Danio rerio: one gene and its partner. The protein of the gene in region 1 purifies or fractionates together with the protein of each later gene. This does not show direct contact. Links are inferred from orthologs where the notes say so. Each region holds a gene or a part of one and is shown in the gene's direction. Other genes may lie near its edges.

What was found. Proteins that work in one complex are often made in the same cells at the same time.
Region 2: the proteins of smc2 (region 1) and ncapg2 purify together in Homo sapiens (affinity purification with western blotting; 4 studies listed by BioGRID and IntAct, with this or other methods). This does not show direct contact. The link is inferred for Danio rerio from reciprocal best matches to the Homo sapiens genes SMC2 and NCAPG2.

What each region holds. Positions count from the first base shown.
Region 1 is NC_133176.1:21,039,702-21,045,007, forward strand, and holds the start of smc2 (structural maintenance of chromosomes protein 2), read left to right. Parts: upstream 1-1,743; 5' UTR 1,744-1,838; coding exon 1,839-2,006; intron 2,007-2,742; coding exon 2,743-2,892; intron 2,893-2,983; coding exon 2,984-3,106; intron 3,107-3,836; coding exon 3,837-3,875; intron 3,876-3,978; coding exon 3,979-4,089; intron 4,090-4,174; coding exon 4,175-4,219; intron 4,220-4,806; coding exon 4,807-5,040; intron 5,041-5,306. Other genes in the region: exoc1l (exocyst complex component 1-like), read left to right, coding at 248-514. UniProt on the Homo sapiens protein: Central component of the condensin complex, a complex required for conversion of interphase chromatin into mitotic-like condense chromosomes.
Region 2 is NC_133182.1:40,560,966-40,565,802, forward strand, and holds part of ncapg2 (condensin-2 complex subunit G2), read left to right. Parts: intron 1-180; coding exon 181-357; intron 358-870; coding exon 871-981; intron 982-2,268; coding exon 2,269-2,397; intron 2,398-3,426; coding exon 3,427-3,526; intron 3,527-3,731; coding exon 3,732-3,922; intron 3,923-4,837. UniProt on the Homo sapiens protein: Regulatory subunit of the condensin-2 complex, a complex which establishes mitotic chromosome architecture and is involved in physical rigidity of the chromatid axis.

The sequences.
Region 1 (5,306 bases):
AGTAATACAAATAATCTTTGGTAAAGCTACAAATTCTATAGTTTTCTTGTGACCAAAGGTTTAATTTAGCTTGAAACCTTACATAGTCACAGGCTTTACATTTTCTTTTCATCCATTAAGGTTAAAATTTGAATTTAAAGGATGTATTGTGCAGCCCTACTGCTTACGATATTAGTGTTATATCAGGGAGAGTTATCTATTTCTTTCCACTGGAAGATGTTCAATTTGCATATCTCTGCTGTGTTAGGATGATCCCTGTTTTTTGATGCATTTCAACTCGGTGCGGCCCATCAGAGCAGTGAGCTGTGCGGCCAAATACACCCTGGCCCGCTGTCTGCTGTCCTTGAGCAGGAAGTATCACCACACTGCATTGAAGCTTAAGAACTTTGACTGGACTTACATTCAGCCCACCGCAATGTATTCAGATCGTGGTGACTGTGTTGTCCTCACGCAGGTCTGTTTCTATGCCTTTAACTTGGTGTGTCTTTCCATGTGTCCGGTCCCTCTGGCATAGAGAAAGCAGAGACATTTGAATGAGTCTAATTTCTTTCAAATTGCCTTTAAAAATGTTATGTTGACAAAAAGTGTATAAAAAAAGCCCAAGGGAGTGTACAAAACTATGCTGTGTTTTGAGCACTTAGCCAAGCTCCGAGCACTCAGACCTACAGCAACTGTAACATAACTCCACAGTGTGGGTGAAATCCAATTTAGCCTTGTGCAAATGTAGCGTAAAAGACTGTTTTTGATGTGTAATTATGCCGTGACTTGAATTTTGAGAATGTATATTTGTTATTAATGCAATGTTACATATTTTGCATGTACTTTAGTCGATTTATTCTAATGTGGTATAACATTTGAAAAAGTAAAACTGTGAGGTAAACGTGGATACAGCACGTTTAGATATAATAACATAGATATTATAATTGTGGGTGAGATTCTTTGGTGAAAAAACTGCTGTTTTCACATTTCTATTGCAATGTGCTTTGCGTTGTTGAATCAGTGACATTGCAATAGTACTGCAAACATTTAACTATTTATGCCACGAATTTATGCACATTTGCAAATGATACAGAATGTAGGTTAACTTTGGAAAGATTCAATTCCATGCATGTATTATTCTTGGCCGCAATTAACTTAACTCCCAGATAATATAAAGTAGGCTATATAGTACTATACCTTTGTAATAAAATAAACATATACATTGTGAAATTATTTACATTGGGATTAAAGGGTTTTATTAACGTTACATGTGGATATATAACTATCACAGCTATGGGAGGTACTAAATGTAGCGTTTGGCAATCAGAAAATTAACTACTGAATGCCGCGACTGACTTACTGTAATCTGATATTTCGTACAGTCGTGTAATAACATGCCATCATATTAAAAACAGCCTCAATGTGCGCTGAACTACACTCTTTTGAACGTAACGATCAAATGTCATTCGAGCCGGCCAGCTTGAGCTAAACCGCCCTAATGACGTCATACACGCTTCAATGTTTTGGGTCCTTCATCATTGTGGTGGCTAAAAAGTAGCCTGAAAAAAATGTTGTACATTTATTTCACTTCTGACAGCAAAGCGTTGCTTGTAATGACTGTAAATCTTTACCAAATAAACTTAGATTTTGTCTAAATATATCCAGGCTTCTAGTGAAATTCATTGCTTGTGATTTTACTGGAATTTGAAATCTGTTCTGTTTTTTTGAACGGCGGAGCGGAAACGCGCCTGGCGCCAAATTTCAAGTTTAGATGGTTGAACTGAAAGCAACGCCGGGGCTTTTGGAGGTTGTTTTCATCAAGCGTTGTTAGTGGATTTTACTCATATCATTTCGATAAAATGTACATAAAGTCGATTGTACTAGAGGGCTTCAAGTCCTACGCCGAAAGGACAGAGATTAACGGATTTGATCCGTTTTTTAACGCCATCACTGGACTGAACGGCAGCGGAAAGTCAAATATACTCGACTCCATCTGCTTTTTACTGGGGATTTCGAACCTTTCCCAGGTGAGGGTTTAAACATGCTTATTTATTATCAGAACTTAGCAATGTGTATAAATCCGTTTTTAAGGTGTGATTGCGTTATTTTGATTGTTGTTTAGCTTAACATTGTTTATTTTTGTTTGCAGAAAAACGAAATACAATCATTTTCATTGTTATATGTGACCCTGTAAGTTACCACAAAACTAGAGATACGTGCATTTTTTTGTATCTTAAACCTAAAGAAACAATCTTTCCACTGATGTATAACGTTACTTTTTTACGATAGGGCCACATTTAGCCGATATGCATACAACTGGAAGTTATTTGAAAATCTGAAATCTAAAATAAATAAAAAAATGCTAAGAAAAACGCCTTTGAAGTTTTCCATATTAGGTTTGCAAAGGGCATTATTAATCAGAAATTGAGTTTTTACCGTAGGAAAATTACCAAATGTCTTCACTAAACATGGTCTTTACTTAATATAACATTACCAGTAATTTTGGCATACAAGAATAATCAATAATTTTCACCTATACAATGTATTTTTGGCTACGGCCAAAATATAGCCTTCTTGTGATATAAGACTAATTTTGTGCTCCAGGGTCACATATGTTGTTAATAAATTGTATGATGACAACAAAAGGCAAACAAAATATAAGTGAATATTATATATTTATAACTTAAACTTAAACAAAAGATGTGCTCAATAAAATAGAAATACATATAACGACTTTTAAAGCTAAAGCTGCTTGTTTTGTAGGTTCGTGCCACAAATCTCCAAGATCTGGTTTACAAAAATGGCCTGGCTGGGATCACCAAGGCAACAGTGTCCATCACTTTTGACAACTCCAATAAGAAACAGAGTCCACTTGGGTTTGAGACGCATGATGAGATTACCATCACACGACAGGTAGATGACCTAAAATCAGTGCCATTTTCACTATAAGATAGCAGCTCACCTTTAAGAATGAGAATGTGAAGATGTTATTTGTGTTGTGCAGGTGGTCATAGGTGGTCGCAACAAGTACCTCATCAACGGCGTAAATGCGAACAACCTGCGTGTCCAGGATTTGTTTTGTTCAGTTGGCTTGAATGTCAACAACCCTCACTTTCTCATCATGCAGGTAATCATCATAAGAGAAGTTATATGGCCTCATAATATTCTACAATTATTATTGTTATAATTATTATTATCACATTTATGAAATAATGCTTTAAAAACTTTTTTACAATTTTTTTCCCCTGCAAAATTCAGATTTTATTTGATATAAGTTTGTTTTATATAGGTGAAAATAATATAGTGAATTTTAAGTTCTCAATGTTTTTATAAATCTTTTTGGGCCTGTGGTCCCAGGAATAATATATATATGTGTTTAATTTATTTATTTTTTTTTTAGATTCTGTTTTTGTGTGTTTAATATTTCTTTACACTGGTTTAATAGTTAATTATTAATCGTATGTAACTTAAAAAGCATTTTGAATTAAAATCTTGCAAGTGATTTACAACAGTTTATTAAGAGTTTAACAAAGCCTACATATTTAAAAAAAAAAAACAACACATAGATTAGGTTTAGCTATTTCTCAAATTGTGCAAAACTTATTGACAGGGAGGTTTAGAACATTCAATATGAAGTCTTTGTGTTTTCATATTCACAGAAACTAGTTCACATCATTGTTTGATTTGGTGTAAATTACCTCTTAATATTTTCATCCAAAATTTGCTAAATATTGCAATGCTGCATAATATAGCAAATTCCATTTGAATGGCTATTGAATCCTTAATATTGTACCCTTATTTTGGATTTGCATATCTCAAAACAGAGCAATTTCATTATTTTTACCTGTTTATTCCAGGGGAGAATCACCAAGGTTTTAAACATGAAGCCTCCTGAGGTAAGAGATCATTTAAATAAAAAGGAATAGTCAGTTTGATTAAACAAACAAAAAAAAAAAAAACGATACCAAGATGTTAATTTCCTATTTTTTCCATTTTTAGATTTTGGCCATGATTGAGGAAGCAGCAGGTACAAGGATGTACGAATGTAAGAAGATCAGTGCTCAGAAAACTATTGAGAAGAAAGATGCCAAGCTCAAAGAAATTCAGACTGTACGTACATTTAAATATTAATGTTCAACAACAATTTAATCTTTTGAAAATGTAATCCTAATATGTTTCTGTGGGTGTGGGACAGATCCTAGATGAGGAGATCACCCCTGCTATGGAGAAACTAAAGGAGGTAGGCATTTAATTTTTTTTAATTTTTCTTTTAGGTGTAGTTCATTGTAAAATAATGGTATTAGCATGGTGTTAGCACATTTACTTTTTACTGTCAAACCCCCCTCAAAAAACGTATGAATGAATAACAGATTAATAATAAATAACATATCTATAATTTAAAGTATTTGTGTAGATTAGATTAAAACCATATATTATTTATTTATACCTTTGGTATATTAATAATAAAGTAGCTAAATAATAAATAATGTAATCTAAAGGCTATACATTACTGTGTGCCTTTATGTGCTGCTTTGAAAAGCGTTTTCTAACAGCATCAGTTCCTTACTGCAGACAGAGTACATAGGACTCAATATATACTCATCCTTATGCCTTGTCCTACACTCAAAAAAATGATTAACTGGATTTACACATTTTTTTTAAGGTAGTTGGTTGCAAACCATTTATATGGGCTGAATTTAAACAAATTAAATTTAGTAATGTTTAACTTAATTGGTTTGTTTAAAATCAGACCGTATATAAAAGTTTTGCAACCAGTTACCTTAAAAAATGTAGTAAAGTGTATTGCTCTCATTTGCTTCTTCTCAGGAACGTGCATCCTATCTGGAGTACCAGAAGCTCATGCGAGAGATTGAACACCTGAGTCGGCTGTACGTGGCGTACCTGTTTGTGTGTGCCGAGGAAACCAAGCTGAAGTCTAATGAAGAACTGCAAGAGATGCAGAGCTCCATCGCAAAGCTGCAGGAGAACATGAAACAGAATGAGGCCAAAGTGAAGGAGCTCAGTGCAGAGATACAGGAGCTGGAGCGCAGGAGAGACAAGGTGAGTGGAGAACAAACAGCCAGATCTAAAAACAAGGGCAGGAATTAATAGTGCATTCATTGGGAATATTCATTAAGGGGGCAATTCCTGTCTAACAAAGTCCATCAGAGTAGTGGGGGGCAGGCCCAAGGAGAACAAGGGCTCACTTATGGATTACTTATTATAAAAACTGAGCAGATTGCTCCGTTTTTGGCTAAATAAATAAAAAATGTAAATTATAATAATTCCTTACTTGTATATAGCACTTTTCTGGACACTTAAAGCAT
Region 2 (4,837 bases), on another chromosome or scaffold:
ATTTTTAATTATTAAAGTTGTTTAATTTAGTTATTAAAGTTATTTTTAATTATTAAAATCATACATCACATGCATCAAAATCTGCATTTTAATTTGATCCAAATACTTACTTGTTACATTGGTATGGCACCAAGTTTCAGAACCTAGCTTTTCATTATAGTGTCTTCATTCTTTCATTAGCAGGGTGATGAAGAATCAACTGGCAAAGTGCATTTTGATGTCCTGGAGGAGTCAAAGCCAGATCTAGGCCTAGACTATCTGGATTACATGCTCTTGAGACCTAAAACACGAGAATGTCTGCTCACACTGCCCCTGGATCAGATGAGACCACTTCATAAAGCCCTCAACAAATGGAAGGTACAGCAAACTTGAAGGTTGAGAATATTATTAGAGAGAATTGGTGAAAGCCTACTCTTTTATTGTGTGTCGTGTTATTACTGTCATTAGATACAAAGTCAATAAGGTAATTGCAGGTTTTCTGTGGCCTTGCTTTGAAAATAGTGCTGCACAGAGCTGAATCATGGCTAAATGTCGTGATGTTTTTGTCCTTATTATCTACTTATATCTCTGAAAGCTCACAGAATTGTTATATTCAAGGATGTTTTGTTTACCAAGGTCAGACTTCAAATATTATATTACATGTTTTTCAGCCTCTATCTTTGAAAAAAATTATGTTTTTTTCAGGGTTTTTGTAGGGTCTTAAAAAGTTTTCATTTTTTTTTTTAAACAAAAATGAAAAGCCTTAAAGTCTTAACGTTGACCTGGTATAACCATGTTTTTTTAAACTTTCTTTACATGGTCCTAAACTGAATCCAAAGTGTGACATGAAATGTGGATCTATTGTCTTTGCTCTTTTGTGAATGTGTCCAGTCGCTGCTGTTCTCCTTTTTGAGCGGATCAGAGGTCAGCGTGGCAGCCATTGAGACAGCACTGAGAGCTTTTATCTTCCATGGCAGACTCTGTATACATCTTCAACACAAAGTGAGTGTACAGCCATAACACTGTTGCATGCACTCTTTGAGCCCTTGTCACTGAACACACTCACACAATTTATATCCTTAGTATGTGAAAGGTGCTTTAAGAATATAAGTTGCCTATGTGTGCATTAAGTATCAATTTCTTAGCACTGAAGTGACACGACAAATTAATTTCAGAAGTTAATGTAGGCCCATCTTTTTGAGGCTGGGTTTTATTGGACATGACTCAGATTTTGTTAAATACTGATCAAGCAGTGCTTGACTGCGTGCTGTAAGTTTCTTTTAGACTGAACAAGTGAAACTCCTATCCTGCAGCATTTATATATATATATATATATATATATATATATATATATATATATATATATATATATATATATATATATATATATATATGTGTGTGTGTACATGCATTTTATTTTAGATGATTATGACAAAAAATCATTGCCAAATAATTAATTCTTTAAATATTTACAGCAATATTGTCAGTGTTTCTTATCAAAATGTACATGAGAATATATACAAATATACACTTCTTAGTTTTTTATACAGTTTTTTCATTACTTTTTTGACCTTAAGAACCATTTGTTTCTGTAATTTTTTTAAAGTGAACACTGAGAGAACCAAAGTTGTTTACTACCCAACTATATAAAGCCTACATCACATTTGATGCATAATTCTAAATCATGGGTGTCCAACTTGGTTCCTTGATTCCTGGAGGGCTGCAGCTCTGCACAGCTTTGCTCCAATGTCAATCAAACACAACTGATCCAACTAATCAAGGTGTTCCAGACTGCTAGAGACTATTAAGCAGGTGTGAGTTGGAGGTGGTTGGAGCTAAACTCTGCAGAGCCGTGGCCCTACAGGAATTGAGTTTGAGACCATTGGTCTAAATGATAAAAATAATAGTTCAAAACAACAACCACACTGGAAAAATCATGTTAAAATTGTAATTTTAGTGATTGTTACAATGAATGTAGTTTTTTTCAAATGGGCTTTGGGATAAAGTCACATGCCACTTCTAAACCATATCTGACAACTCAAAGTATTGCACACCATATAAGCACTTTCTATACGCAAATATAATGTTTATTATTATAAAACAATGCTGATGGTACGGAATAAATTATAACGGTGTCTTTGCTGGCCAAAGGATGTCTGCACCAATTAAAAAAATTACATGCTTCCCAAAATGTTGTGTCACTTGCTTAATTTTACTTTAAAATCAGCAGAATTTAATATTTGTTTTAAAGTGGGAACCCTGATTTTGCCTTTCTTTTGAATTCTGCAGTTTCCAGAGGAGCGGGAGTTCCTCAAATCTCTGGAACATTCGGTGTCCTGGGTTGAGAAGCGAGTCCTTCCTTTCTTGGTCAACTCCAGCAGTGAACAACAACTGTCCTTAAGCACAAAGATTGTAGAGGTGAGTGGTTTGATTATTGTCAAAACTAGTTTTGTTTTATTTATTTATTTATTTGTTTGTTTATTTTTAATTGTTTTTTGTAGTTTGTCATGGATGAACACCATATGTAATGTAATATAGCTGTCAAAAGAACACATATTAAGCTGGTAAAATGACTTCTGGAGATTGGTGTGACACTGATGAAAAATGTTTTTGAAAAAACAGTTGCCAGATGTCACAGAAGATGTTTTGTTTTATTTTATCTTTCAATCATAAAGTCGCACTCTCTGGACTGAGACACAAAGCACAGATGATCTGATAACAATGCCTAACATGTAAATTTAACAATCTCCAATGTCAAATGCTTCTAAAAATAAAGTAATAAAGGCGATCTGTGTTCTTGACATTTAGTTGACTGGTGCTTACATGAAAGTTCAGTAATTCTGATTAGATTTCTGAAAATGTCAACAAATTTGATCAGTAATTGTGATTATATGTTTGAGTAAAATAATTGTTTTTAGCAGTTTTAACCATTATGCAGTATAAATAAAAAAAGATCCATTGACTTCAACTAAATTCCCAGAGGTTTACTCAACAAAATCTTGTCGAACAAAAAAGCAATAGGTTGACAAAATATGCTAAAAACTTATAAATATATATCTAAGACAGGATTAAAGGTCTTTGCTCACTAAAGTTTGAAGGTTTTGTATGGTTTTCCCCCTGCATTTTGGCTCATAACGTCTCAAAAGACTTTCTATGGATGCAAAAAAAACCTGACAAACATTTCGGAGACAGTGTGTTAATGCAATTGACTCAACATGAGGTCGGATTTATTTTTTAAACATGCTCAAATTTAAGACTCCGTGTACAATGAACTAAATACTTAGATTTTTAAACAGTGCACTGTAAATAAATACTTTTAAAAAGGTTATCAGGCACATGAAGACTAATTCTAAAAGTAATCCATTGATTCACATTCTTACAATAGATTGTGCAGATGGTTTTGGTTTGCTTGTATATGATTTATTTCCCTTCTTCTATCATTGTCAGAGCTGTGTAACCGTGTGCAAGAATGTGCTGCGGGTTTCTGTTGGAGACAGTGATTTCAGAGACCACTTACTGCAGCATGTTGCCTCAGTACTGCAGACAGGTGGGTGCTGTAGTTTTCATCATGCCGATCCAGAGCCCAGAGATTGTATTATGTATTATCAGATTAAAGAAAGATTGACAGATTTATGTGTTGTTAAAATAAATTAGGTTTGACCCCTTTATACAAAATGTTATAACAATGTTATGCAAAATCTTATAACAATATAACAATGCTTTTTTTAAATGTATGTTTATTCTTACTTTAGAGAAAGGATACATGTGCATCCCTCATTTGCTTGCTCTGCTTACTGAGATTGCACATGGCTGCCTTTCCCAAAAGGCTGAGGGACAGGAAGATCAACTGTCCCTCACTATCCGCATTCTGACCAACATCTTCCAGAAAGTTGTGGAGATCTTAGCACATCGTCTGCGGAAAGACAAGGAAGAGGGTCAAGAGGTGAGGCCTTTGAAAAGAGATTTTAGGGCCTTCCTTAAATACACACAAACATGTGTGCGCATATACATATATTAAAACTGGATTAATGTTGTTCAAATTTAACTGATGACTGCTAGGGCTGGGTGTTAAGTTTAATACTTCAACTGCCTTGTTTCAATTACAAAATGAAGAATCAAAAAATGTCTTGGCATTCAGTACCAAATTTTCTTACCTAAAATGAATGAATCTCATCAATGTTTGTTAGCCAAGTGTGCATAATGACAAATCTACTTCAAAAAGAACAGAATGCTCCAATTATATTGGCATTTGTGAGAGGATAACCGCAGTACACTCGTGAAAATGGTAACCTTAGTACAACCCTTAGAGTTCTCTCACCTGCTGAGCTACTTCGGCAGGTGCAGTCACTTTTTTCGCTTTTTAATTTGTAACCTCAAACGTCATTAGTTTCGTCAAATTTTTTGTGAGACCAGCTGTGATTGAGTGGCTGTTATTTTATGATCCTCAAAGGAACACTATATATTTTTGAAAAAGGCCCATTTTACAAGTCTTCTAGCATAAAACAGTTAAAGCCTAGTTCACACTACAGGATTTTAAACATCAGCAGATCGCTGTGCTGTTCACACCACATGACTTGACTTTGTGTCTTTTGATCTCTGTGATGTTCACACTACGCAACACTTCGTGAACGATCCACAAGAGGGGGGTCACACACTACATGATCTGACAACATCTCATTCCCCATCAGCTCATTCAAGCTACCAAACCACAGCCAATGAAAATTTGAGGGAGGAGTCGTCAGAAAAAAGCTGAACACTATTGGCTGCTTGTGTGCTGATAACATCACTGACAGCATTTCAAGCTTTGGAGAAAGCATTTAAAAACATCGTCAAATCAGCTGATTTATCAGCGCATTAA